Canis lupus familiaris: one gene and its partners. The protein of the gene in region 2 purifies or fractionates together with the protein of the main gene of each other region. This does not show direct contact. Links are inferred from orthologs where the notes say so. Each region holds a gene or a part of one and is shown on either strand. Other genes may lie near its edges.

Region 1 (4,358 bases), on a different chromosome or scaffold from region 2:
GATGTGGAGGGGGAAGCTGAATGCCCACAGAAAACATAATTATATTCTTTTAGTAAAAAGCATAGTATAAAGAAATAATGGAGAATATTGAAAAAAAAAGAATAAAACACTAAAAAGCTTAATGGAAACTCTTTTTTTTTTTTTTTAAAGATTTTATTATTCATTTGAGAGAAAATGAGAGTGAGGGCACGGCCAGAGGGAGAGGGAGAGAAAATCCCAAGCAGACTCCGTGCTGAGTTGTGGAGCCCAATCTCACAAGCCTGAGATCATGACCTGAGCTGAAACCAAGAGTCAGACACTTAACCAACTGAGCCATCCAGGTGCCCTGACTTAGTGGAAACTCTTAGTGATACTTCTTCACTTTCTTAAAATGAACTAAGTTCTTCCTTGGAGAGCTCCCAGTCTTTCTTTTGGGCTGATGAGATACCCCAGAGAAGGTATCTCTGTCTCTTTGGCTGCCAGTCTAAAAGCCAACCCAAGACTAGGTTTGGGTCTCAGTATTAAGTTTGTGAAGTTTCTCTTAATCCCTCTTTTCAGTATGGCTCCCTTTCTCCAACTCCTGCCATGTGCCTGGTGTTCCCCAGTCCAGAGACACTCTGGCTTATTTTTAAAAATAAATTTTGGGGGGAGAGTAATCCTTGGTCTGCCAAGATGGAAGATGGGCAGTCCCCATCTGCTTAGAGTGGGGAAGAAGGCTATGGGATCTGATTCTTACACAGACTTTAAGTAATCCTCCTGTTCTAGTCTCACTTTCACCTCTATTTCCAGGAGTCCCTGACACTGCCAATTCCTGAGCTTTGGGGAGAAGCCATGGTCAAAGGCAGCTGTGTCTGGATGGTTCTGAGGGCTCATAGATGGATTAGCCTTTAGCCATCTGCTTTGTGACAACAGCTGTTCTTTTTGGTTTTATGCTTAAAAAAAAAACAAAACACTCCTCACTGTCCTTTCAGAGAGTATAGAGATAAACACATGTGATCAACCTGCCATCTTTCACAGAAGGCTGCTCTTGAGTATACCTTACAGCAATCTTAAAATTTAAGTACTGTTATTCCATTTCGCCAAAGAGACTCAGAGAAGCTAAGTCATTTGACCAAGATGACCTAGGCCCTACACAATAAAGCTGTAATTTAAATGTTTCAGGTCCACTGTTATTATTCACGTATGAGAGATAAGAAAATAAGGCCTAGAAAGGTTATGTTTTAATAAGATTACAAGGCCCACTTATAATCCAGCATTGCCCTGAGATTTGGGGGTCTCCATGTGTGATTTTTTTTTTTTTTTTTTTTTTTTTTTTTGCCATCGCACTGCTCCCTAGAAGTGCCACTTGATGATCACAGGCTAATGAGAACAGAACAGAGTCTGTTTTACCCTATAAACGGTATGTTCACACCAAGTGAAGCCAAATGAAGGCAGGGTCTAATGTGAGAACAAAGGCTTTCCAGCTGTTTAAAAAGGGGTGGAAGCATGAGGTCATCCCACAGCAAGTGAATCTAGTCCGGCTAAGCTCAAAAGCTAGGCCAGTAACAAACAAGACTTTCATGTTGTAGGTAGCAAGTCCATTTCAGCAAGACACCCAAGAGCGCATTAATGCTCACTTGAATGTCACAGTAACAGTGACTTTGCTTTCATTTACTTTGTTTTGGTTTTTAATGGCTGAATAAGTTATGAGCCTGGTTTACCCTTGTATCATGTGGATATAAATAAGGTATCAGCAGAAATAATTTAGGAAAGCATGGGGATCACGGAGCCTTTTGGCTGCACTACTTTTTTTCTTTTACAGAGTCAGTTTGAAAATTCAGGCTATAATCTAAAGACTGGCCAAAAGAAAGACAAGTCGGCCAGCCTGGGGAGCTCAGCTGGCTGAGTGTGGGACTCTTGATTTCCGCTCAGGTCATGATCTCAGGGTGGAGGGATCCAGCCCTGCCTGCTCAGCAGGGAGTGGGCATGAGATTCTCTCTCCCTCTGCTCCACCAACGCTTGTGCTCAAGCTCTCTAAAATGAATAAATCAATCTTGGGAAAAAAAAAAATGAAAATCACCCTTTTTGGCACGATGTAAGAACAGTCCTACAGGGCCAACTTCTATCTTTGTTTCTTCTAAGTTCACTATCATCAACCCTCCAAACTCTCTGAAATAGGGGTCATTTCCATCCCTGTCTTTTTTTCCTTCAAACTGATAAGCAATGTTGGGGGAGGGGGGAGGAGAAGTTGGCCCTCTTTACTGTGTACATTCCACGGACTTAGCAGTGTGCCACACAAGGAAGATGATCCATATCTGCTGGATGTGTTGAAAAGACAACACCCAAGTGTTACTCCTCTATTACAGGTGCGAAAACCGAGGCTCAGAGACGCTTGACTTGCTCCAGGTCACTAAGATGCAAACTTGAGTCGTCTGACTGCAGAGCCTTCATTTTTAAGACTATCGCCTGGCCATCGTGAGGTCTGGCAACTCTCTCAGGGTTCAAACGTTTGCCGAACTGACGCTGTGACCAGGTGTGGTCGTGGGAAAGGCCTCCTGCCCCTGGCTCTGTTTCCCCAGCGGTAAAATGGGGCTGTGCCCGAGAGCACCTAGGCCTTTGCCGCTCGGAAACACGAGACGAGAAGCGGGAGGGCGTGTCGTGGCTGGTCCTCTCTTGGGCTCTTACCATTTGATGATGTTGTGAACCAAAGGTAAAAAGGAGTAATTCTCCTCCTCCTTCACGCCGGCCGGTGACTGGGGCCTGGTTGCCGGCGACTGCTGCGGCTGAGGCACGGCGACCGGAGGCGGCGGCTGCGAAGGCGGCAGCGGCTTCGTCTCGGGCAGCGACGGCTCGGCCGGCGGCGGTAACGCATCCTCGGCCTGTCGCCCGGCGGCCACCCCGGCGGAGGCCATAGCGCTCGGAACCGCGCCGCTCGGGCAGCAGGACCCCAACGGTCAGCTTCTCAAAAGCGTCGCGGACCTCAGACGTCACCGCTCTGCGCCCGCGGTGGGCGGGCCCTGGAAAAAGGTTGTGCGCGTGCGTACTAGGGTGTGGGCGGGGCAATATCCTGGGGGCGTGGCTGATGTTACTAGGCAACGGGCGATTGACGGATTTGGTTGTAAGTAGAGGCAGCTAGATTATTAAATAGTCAGAAACAGATCCATTTGAGACATAACATTCTTATTCACACGACAAAAAGGGTCCAAAAGCAACTAGTACAGGAAAGCTGAGATGCATGACTCCGCAGGGCCCCGCCCTCGGAGAAGGCCTCCCGACCACCTTGAACCACATGCAGAGTAAACAACTTCCTGCTTTGTGTAAAGCATTGGGCCCTACGGGCATTGAGAATCCAGAGATGGAGGGCCTACACCTCCTACACCTCGCAGATGCCTCCAGGAGGACAGGCAGCAAACCCTGACCCAGCTGAAGTGTGAGACTGTGTTAGCCCAAAGGGGCAGAGACAAAGTAAAGTGAGTCTCTAAAAGCTCCCCAAGCCTAGATAGGGAGGAACTCATAATTCAACATTGCATTTTCTGGATGGCAGATGCAGTATTAAATGTGAAGTAGTGGGTAGGAAGGCTGTCCTGACTTCAAAACAAGGCAGAAGGGGATTGACTAGTGCCAAGAATAAATGCATCCTACAGGAAAGTCCACCTCGGGTATTCTCCATACGGGCAGGCCAGTTCCTTGAGCTCCTAGGTCTGTTTCCTTAACTGTAAAATGCTTACTCCAGGGTCATAGCAAAGCCTAAATTGTTTTCTAACTTCAGGTACATGGCTGACCTCCAAAGGTCTGGTTTGTCCCCAGGATCCTAGGTCAAAAACATGGTGGTGATGTAATTATATTTCTCAAAACAAGTGTGATATGGGGGCTGTATAATAGATTTCTGGGCAATGGGACACCCATCCTAAGCTCAGCTAGTCAGTGGGAGAGGACATGAGCTAGGAAAGCCCCAACCTTTCAAAGTCTACCATCAAGGGTCTTAAAGAGAGGCAAGGAGGCCCATATTCAGGTGGCAAGATGAGCTGGAGCACTTAAGAGCAAGGGGGCTGATTCCAGGGAAAGCATTGACGCTACTATTTTCAGATGCATCAGGAAAGGTTGATGGAGGCAGACCCTAGGGAAGGCAGACTGTAGAAGGAAATAGGAGTTGGAGAGTGTGCTCCAACTCTTTGGAGCACTAAAGGCTCTTTAGTGATGGGCCTTAGCACAGCTTTCTTCAGCAAGAACTGCCTAGAGTACCCCCAGGGGGGAAAGCAGGGAGAAGGAGAGTCTGCAGGGCTTTCTTATTGCTACCCATGGACTTATCCACTTTAGGGAAGAGTTTTAGGAGTCCTGGTAGAGAACTTTCCTAGAGGAGAAAGGCCTGTTGGGATCAGACCAGGTGTGCTTGAAGAGGC
Region 2 (3,841 bases):
TTGTTGAGCAAGGCCACCAAGGACTCCACTTTGGTAGAGTCAGGCCAGAAGCATGGGTGGTCAGGGTTCAGGATTTTGCCCTCTTCGGGCATGCAAGTCTGCATCCACGTCTCAAAGAAGGGCACCTGTGCTCCTGTGCTTGACTCGGACAGAATCACCTAGGGAAGGAAGGGAGGGAGGGAGGGTCAGCAGCCAGTGCTCTGTGCCTCAGTTTCCTGCCCCACTGCTGCTTCTTTCCAGCCTGAAGAACTAAAGATGCACTGGTCTCAGGGAGAAAGACAGGGGCTATGCTGCCACCTAGTGGTGGGTGTGGGTGTGGCACTGAAGGATTCCGGAGTAACCAAAGGGGGCGTCTATGGGCCCAGGGGCACCTTCATTCTGCACCCAGCAGAACTAAGTAGCTTGCGGGGTGGGGAGGGGCGGCCAAGTTACTGGTCATTTCCTTCCCCCTCTCCCTGCCCACTTGGTGCCCCTAATCTTGACTGCTCTCCTCTCACTCACCTCTGAACCATAGGTCTGGGCCACGTGGCACAACATGAGGAAGGAGATGTCGAAGAGCAAGGCTCGAACTGAGGCTGCTTTGGCTACGGGGAACAAAAAGCCTGACTCCACAGCCTTGAGCAGGGCCCAGAACCCTCGTCTGGATCGGAAGGGGGGGGTCAGGATTTGCCTCAAGGAAGGTCAGTGATCAAGTGGCTCCTTCAAAGCTCTGAGGCTCAGAATCCTTTTCTTGAGTCTCAATTGGAACATCATCCCTTCCTTGGAATCCAAGACTCCTGATACCCTCCTCCTTCCCAGCACCCAACCAAATCATAAAGAGGGAGGGCAATAGACAGAGGTGGTTTTGGAAGAATTCTTTGCCCAGCATTCCCCTTTCAAGGCTCCCCAAAAGCTTCAGTCAGTCATTGCTCAGGGGAGAAAAGAGCCTCCCCAGGAGGAGCAACGGGCCCTCTGTCCTCCCCTGTTCTCTCCCCCGACCCTTCCACAGTGCTGGGTCCGGGGGGCACAGAGCTGACTTACCGAGTTCTTCATTGCCATGTGTCGTGAATTCATTCAAACTGGGGGAGGAACAGAGATAGGTCACAGCAAGCAGGGCAAGGGTTCAGGGGGCTACGCCTGTCCAGAAAGGCAGTCACTAAAGTCTGAATTAAGGGTGAAACTTAAAATGAACACTACCACTACAAAAAGAACTCTTTGTTTTTAAAAGATTTCCAAGGCAGCATGCCTGGCTGGATTGATCATTAGAGCATGTAACTCTTGATCTCAGGGCTTTGAGTTTGAGTTCCAAAACAGATGTAGAGATCATTTAAAAATAAAAATCTTGGGATCCCTGGGTGGCGCAGCGGTTTGGCGCCTGCCTTTGGCCCAGGGCGCGATCCTGGAGATCCAGGATCGAATCCCACGTCAGGCTCCCGGTGCATGGAGCCTGCTTCTCCCTCTGCCTGTGTCTCTGCCTCTCTCTCTCTCACTGTGTGCCTATCATGAATAAATAAAAATTAAAAAAAAATAAAAAAATAAAAAAAATAAAAATCTTGGGCAGCCCGGTGGCTCAGCGGTTTAGCGCCGTCTTCAGCTCAGGGCGTGATCCTGGAGACCCAGGATCGAGTCCCATGTTGGGGTCCCTGCATGGAGCCTGCTTCTCCCTCTGCCTATGTCTCTGCCTCTCTCTCTGTGTGTGTTTCTCATGAATAAATAAATCTTTAAAAATAAAAAAAATAATAAAAATAAATAAAAATCTTGGGGCACCTGGGTGGTTCAATGGTTGAGCATCTGCCTTGAGCGCAGGTCATGATCCCATGGTCCCAGGATCGAGCCCCGCATTGGGCTACCCCCTCAACAGGAAGCCTGCTTCTCCCTCTACCTGCTTATGCAGGTGCACGCATGCTCTGTGTCAAACAAAATCTTTAAAAATAAAAATCTTAAGAAAAAAAAAATCCAAGGCCCAGAGAACAGCTCACCGGATGGAACAAAGTTCTATGTATCAAATTCCATGTCAACCAAAGAGTCAACAGTGTTTGAGAGCCCCTTAGTAACAACTGGGCGCACCCGAATCCCTTCACTCCACCATTTAGTGCCTCTCATCTCATCAAACACCTCTACTTCATGCTCAGCAGCAGAGAAAAGAGCACTTGACATCCAGAGACCTGGCCCTTCGCTCAGTGTCTTCAACTGGGATGCTCTGGCTTGCCCTAGGCATCTCCAGGGAGACCTAGACCCTGGGGTCTTGCCCCTACTCTGCTACCTCTTCCTTTGGACACGCCTTCCCAACTCGGTTAGGGGCTCACCATTCCTTACTTGATGAATTTCCGGGCAAAGGATTTAAGCTTCCCAGTGGCAGCAGCGGCGGCCAGCAGAAGATCCAGACTCTTCCCAGAGAGCATGTGGCCCAGGACTCCTAGCAGCCCCTCTGGGGACTTGGAGTGGTCTGCATCCATCGTCTAGGGACACAACAGGAAATCAAGTCCTGAAGAAAACCCAAAGACCTCCCACGACCACCAGATACAGCCTAATCAACCAGAGCTTCCTGCTCTGCACGTCTCCATCAAGTGGCATACCACAGCCTGAAATCCAACCTATATCTTTCTGACTCCAATCTGGAAAATCACTCCCCAAATCCATCTGCTCTCTGATCCATTCCTCTCAACTAAACTGGGATCATGGCGGTAGGGGTGTGGGTGTGTGTGTGTGTGAGAGTCCCCACTGCTTCTGCAGGAGCAGGTGGAAGCATCTACCACAGTGCCTATCTTCCAAGCAGTGCCCAACAAATGCTAGTTTTCATTGGCAGCTTCCCTGCCTTGCCTGCTTCTCTACTTCCAAAGTAACTACATATAAAAGCCAGAAGACAAAGAGGTCTACAGCCTCAATTTCCTTTATCTGGAAGCAGAGGCAAAAGTGGAAAACAGGAAGAGATGACCCTGGAGACAAGGGAAGGGCATACTCACCTTGAGGATATTTGTGACAGTGGGTTCTGCCCGGAGGATCAGCCCAGGATTGGGCTGGATGTTGGCATTTTCTCCTGATTTCAGCTGGGGTGCATGTTCCCGGTCTGCTGCGCTGTGGCCATAAGCCATTGGCCAAGAGAAGGGAAAAGAAAGAAGTTCCTGATGTGCTCCCTGGTCCAGCGCCAGAAGCAGAGGCCCAGAGAAGGTGGGGAGCATAGAAAAACCTCTGCGGTTGGGGTGATGTTCATGCATGCATGTCCACTGGTGTGACTGCTTCAGTTTGTCACTGATCATTACCTCAACTCTGAAAGTTCACTTGAGATTAAAGGAAGATTTAGGATTTTTATTGTGTTCACAGAGGGTGAGAATTCAAGTGCAGCACCCAAGGGTGCAGAAGCCTAGTGCACAGAAACCCGTGTCTGCCACTCCTGGTAAGCCTAGGCATGGCCCCAGGCACCTGCACGGGAAGGGGAGAGGCACCCAGCAGTCCAGCCTGGACAGGAGGAAAGGGGGGCAAGTGGCACGTCAGCCAGGCCGGGGGGAACTCATGCTTACCGCTTGGCCAGAAGGTTGGTCACACTGGCTTCGGACAGAAGCCCCTGCTTGCTACATTCTTGGAGGAGGAATTTTGTACAGTCACAGCTGTGAGGGAAAAAGATCATGAGGGGCCTGGGCACACAGCAGGGATGACTGAGGGATGGGGACAGTAGGCCTCTGCCTCGTTTCCTCCCTCCTTCAGGATGGCAGATGGGCTCTGGCACCCAGCAACTACGGGGCTGGGGCCTCCTGCCCCTGCTCAGGGGTACGAACCAGGTGACAGTCCCCTGAGATTGGCCTGGCACAAAGGAGCTGGGGAAGAGCCAGAACACCTTCTAGAAGGTAGAGCAGGGGTGAGCTAG
Region 3 (4,416 bases), on a different chromosome or scaffold from region 2:
GAGCTAACCTGTAATGGACCATGATCAGAGTGTAAAATCCTTTACTATGCAAATCTGCATCACAGCTTAGAACCATCACTAAAAACTTTGTTCTTTCAAATCGCTTGTATCACGGAACATAAAACTAATCCTACCAACCCACAAGAGATGTGTTTACTGTAAAACCTCAAATCTCAACTAGACCTTTGACCCAAGAAAACCTACCTTTATAATGACTTTTCTTATAACCAATACAGTGATATCAACTAATGCTTTCAGATCCTAAAAGTTTCTTTAAAAAGCGTATTTTGAAGATACACAAACTGATCTTATTCTATTCGAGAAACTTTATTAATTCTGCTCAAACAAATTTCACTCAAGAAGAAAAGTGTAGTCGAATCAAGAACTTTATTAGAGGGGAAAAATATTAAAAAAAAAAAAAGAACAATGAGAAGCAGGAATTAAATTTAGCTGTTTTTTGGTTGTGGCCCATGCTATCAAAAAATACAATTCAAAAGCAGAATCCTCAATTTTTCTCACAAGTTACCTACTGAAAGGAAGCTATTTTTAACAACAAAAATGAAAATACATCTTAGAAATTCCAGATCAAGTGTATCACAACGTAAGCACGAGGAGTATGAAAAACACACAAGGTGGGATTTGTTTTGTAATGCCAGTGTCCAACCAGGAAAACTAGATGTGCTCTTCCCCAAGTATATCTGCTAAGATTCCTTACAGGGACACCAGGAGAACAAGCAGAGCTAATATTCCAGAAGCAAAATACAAGTTAATTATAGTGCCTCACAGTCCAAGATATTAATTCAAGGACGACACCTGGCAAGTAACTGCAAGAACCATGAGTTAAGCTACAACTGAACGCCATGGGGCTCGTCCAGTTCAGAAGGCAAAAGCTAAACGCGGCTCACAATCCTCTCTCCGCACGTGTGCAGCACCTCGTGAGGCCACGACGCTCTAGGGCGAAACGGCGTGTAGGGTCGGGCTCCGCGGGCTCCCCGGGCACCGGCGCGCGGCCCCGCCTGCTCCGCCCTGGCCCCCCCACACCAGCTGCAGCGATGGCAACAGGCAGGTGCGCAGGACGCGACGCAGCGCCGCCAGTCCCACTAACGTCGCCGCGGCCGATCCTCCCTTCACTCAGGGATGTCCCGTTACGAGCCTACAAACTCTCTCCCCCGAGTGGTTTCTGACAGCCTTGGGAACCTAGGCGGGAGGGCTCGAGAGACGTCCCCGGGCTCCCGGCTCCGGGGGAGGAGGATCCCCGCCAGGGTGGGCGGAGGGGAGGCCAAGGGTTCACCCCGACCCTCCTCGCCGCGGGGAGCTGGTGCCTCCGGCCCTGCAGCCCGCGCACGGCTACCCTACAGGACCAAGGACAGGCGCTGTCAATACTTTCTCCAGCTCGCCTTCTCCTAAGACGGCGATCCATGGACGCTTCTAAGAGGTGTTACCACGGGTCGCCCTCAACTCCCCGGGAGAACAAGAGATCCAGGCCCGCCTTCCGTCCTGGCCCATCCAGGTGCTCGGGAGCCCCCAGCGCGCAGTCATTCGGCCAGGGGGGCGCAGGGGAGGACCTCAGGATGCCCCAGATTGGGGTGTGGAGGACCTCAGGATGCCCCAGGTGCGGGTCTGGAGGACCTCAGGATGCCCCCAGGTCGGGGTGCGGAGGACCTCAAGATGCCCCAGGTCGGGGTGCGGAGGACCTCAGGATGCCCCAGGTCCGGGTGGGGAGGACCTCAGGATGCCCCAGGTCGGGGTGCGGAGGACCTCAAGATGCCCCAGGTCGGGGTGCGGAGGACCTCAGGATGCCCCAGGTCCGGGTGGGGAGGACCTCAGGATGCCCCAGGTCGGGGTGCGGAGGACCTCAGGATGCCCCAGGTCGGGGTGCGGAGGACCTCAGGATGCCCAAGGTCGCGGGGGGTGGGGGGTGGGGGGACGAGTTAGGGAACTAGGCGAAGTTCCGCCGGTAAAGCGCGGCGGGTCTCCCGGGAGGTCCCACCTCGGAGGGGAGGCGCGGAATTCACAAGGTGCAAAGGCGGAATCGGCGGGGGGAGGATGGATCCCGAAGTCGGCGGGTGTAGACAGGGGCTGCGCCCAGAGCCGGGAGGCTGCCCGGGCCCCCAGCGCTCGGCCGCGCCGCCGGCTCCCCGGCTGGGTTTCAAACCGCCGCCCCCGGGGAGGCGCTCAGCCGATTGGAAGTTCCGCCACGACCGTCACCGGCCCAGGGCCGGAGCGGCAACTCCTCGACGAAGCTCTCCCGGCGCCCCGCGTGCCCCCCGCCCGCCCCCGAGAGCAGACCCCGCCAACTCCACCTCCGCGGAGGTGCCCCCTCGAGTCCCCGCCGCCAGCCCGGGGCGCGCGGGGGGCGCCCTCGGGGACGGGACCGCCGCCCCCCGACCGGGCTGCGCCGCGGGAGTCCGCGGGGCGCGACGGGGCCGCGCGGGGCGGAGGGTGCAGGGTGGAGGGTGGGGGGGCAGCGCCCGCGCCCCCCAGTCCGCGCCGGGACGCGCGGCCCCGCGCCCCCCGCCGCCTCGCCCCCCGGGAGCGGCCCGCCCCGGCTCCGACCCAGCCGCCCCGCGCGGTCGCGGGCAGGGCGAGGACCCGGGCGAGCCCGCTCCCCCCGCCCCTGCTCTTACCCATCTTTCCGCCTCGCCTTGTAGACGTGCCCGTAGGTGCCGCGTCCCACTTTGCACCCTTCGTACTCAAACAAATCCTCCACCCGCTCCCGCTCCGCCGCCAGCTTCGCCTTGAAATCATAATCCATTGTCTGCTTTCCCCATAGAGGCACCGGGACGCGGGGGCCGCCGCCGCTCAGTCCCTCCTCCTCCTCCTCCCCCCGCGCCCGCCGCTCCACTTCTCCAACAGCCGCCTCTCGGGCGCGCGCGCGCCGCCCGCCGCCCCGCGGTCCGCCTTCAGCAAGGGACTCCTCGGCGGCCGCGGCAGCCACCTCCTCCTCCACCACCACCTCCTCCTCCTCCTCCTCGGCGGCGGCGGCGGCGGCGGCTCCCGCAGGCAGCCCCAGTCCCGCCTCCCCCCTTCATTTCCTTGTTTTGGAACCTGGTGGGCCGCGCCGCGGCTTCCTCGAGCTCATTAACGAACCATCCCGCCCACCCCGAGGTCGCGGGGGCTCCTGGGAAATGTAGTTCCGGAGGGCCCCAACAGCAACCGAGTTTCGCCAGCAGAAGAAATACAACACCCAGGCTGCTTTGGGCCGCCACAGCCCCGCCCCGCGAGGCGGGCACGCCTGCGCACTGCGGCCGCCCCTCCCCCTCAGGTAGCGCCGGACTGCCAGTTCCTGTGAAGGTGGGAAGCTTCAAGTTGCCGAATTCTTTCTGCGAGTCTGTGGGGGAGCGGGTGGAAAAAAGGCCCTTGTTGTGGTGTAGAGGAAGGTACTCCACTATCACTGCCCCCGGGCGAGAGGGAGAGTGGAAAGTACGTAACAAGTGCTCGGCTCAGGAGTTTGCGCCGGCGGTTAGAGAGGCGAGGACTGTGGTTAGAGCAGTTGTGCTGCAAGACGGTTTGTTTTTCGTGGCGATTGGTCCGCTCGTTGCCCCGCCCCCCTCCGCCGCTCATTGGCTGAGACTAGAGAATGACGTCCTCGTCGGTGCGTGGGTATCCCCGGGCTTTGGCTCCTTTCCCGCTCTTGATTGGTAATTGGGTGTGCTCGGTTGTTCTGATAGGTCCATCTTTTTTCTTTACGATGCAAAAACCGTATTTCAAAAGCTGAACCCTCAGCGGTTTCCTAGGGCTGGCGTCGGTCTGCGGAGAACTTCTGAGGCCCGGCAGCCAATCATCCTTTTCCTGGCGCTCGAGTCATGGTCTCCTCCCACCATATGCGGTTCCCACAGCCAAGCTTTGGGCCATCTGTCTAAGGACAATTCAAGTGCCAGGAGGATGCATCGTCTTAAAAGCAGGCATCAGGTTTGCATTGTAAAAGATGTTTGTTTTTTTTTTTTTTTTAAGGTCTGTGCATAATGGTGACGTTCTCCAAGGATGTCTGAGAAAGTGTCCTTAATCAAGGTGAATATGGATTCATTTAATTCCTGCGTCCTTAGGATGCTTGGGATACGATTTTATGCGTGATTGGTGCTAGGATAAGAATAATATACCACATTTAGTGGGAGCACAAAGGAAGAATTGGTCCCCTTTATCTAAAGTGGTAAGGAAAGTTAGTAGTGACACCTCCCCCCCCCCCCCCCGCCCACCTGCTAGGTTTGGGAAGAAACCTGGAAAACTTGGGAGTGGGGGATGGAGATCATTGATTTACTACAAGAGTAAATTTCTTAAGGAACTTTCTCAGATCTTGAAGTCAATCAAACGTATCTGAAAATCTTAGTTTCTCTTATGTCCAGGAACCAGGGTGAGTGCTGGAGATACCAGATGAAAACTGGTCTTTTTCCATCAGGGGAGCTAAAACCTATTGGA

Evidence for each region. Proteins that work in one complex are often made in the same cells at the same time.
Region 1: the proteins of MED24 (region 2) and MED9 purify together in Homo sapiens (affinity purification with mass spectrometry; 5 studies listed by BioGRID and IntAct, with this or other methods). This does not show direct contact. The link is inferred for Canis lupus familiaris from reciprocal best matches to the Homo sapiens genes MED24 and MED9.
Region 3: the proteins of MED24 (region 2) and CDK19 purify together in Homo sapiens (affinity purification with mass spectrometry; 6 studies listed by BioGRID and IntAct, counting the BioPlex papers as one, with this or other methods). This does not show direct contact. The link is inferred for Canis lupus familiaris from reciprocal best matches to the Homo sapiens genes MED24 and CDK19.

Annotation. Positions count from the first base shown.
Region 1 is NC_049226.1:42,191,945-42,196,302, forward strand, and holds the start of MED9 (mediator of RNA polymerase II transcription subunit 9), read right to left. Parts: upstream 2,940-4,358; 5' UTR 2,871-2,939; coding exon 2,644-2,870; intron 1-2,643.
Region 2 is NC_049230.1:22,467,550-22,471,390, reverse strand, and holds part of MED24 (mediator of RNA polymerase II transcription subunit 24), read right to left. Parts: intron 3,585-3,841; coding exon 3,498-3,584; intron 3,055-3,497; coding exon 2,943-3,054; intron 2,439-2,942; coding exon 2,296-2,438; intron 1,059-2,295; coding exon 1,021-1,058; intron 770-1,020; exon of another isoform or gene 666-769; intron 585-665; coding exon 502-584; intron 159-501; coding exon 1-158. UniProt on the Homo sapiens protein: Component of the Mediator complex, a coactivator involved in the regulated transcription of nearly all RNA polymerase II-dependent genes.
Region 3 is NC_049233.1:67,738,942-67,743,357, forward strand, and holds the start of CDK19 (cyclin-dependent kinase 19), read right to left. Parts: upstream 2,940-4,416; 5' UTR 2,756-2,939; coding exon 2,628-2,755; intron 2,160-2,627; exon of another isoform or gene 1,991-2,159; intron 1-1,990.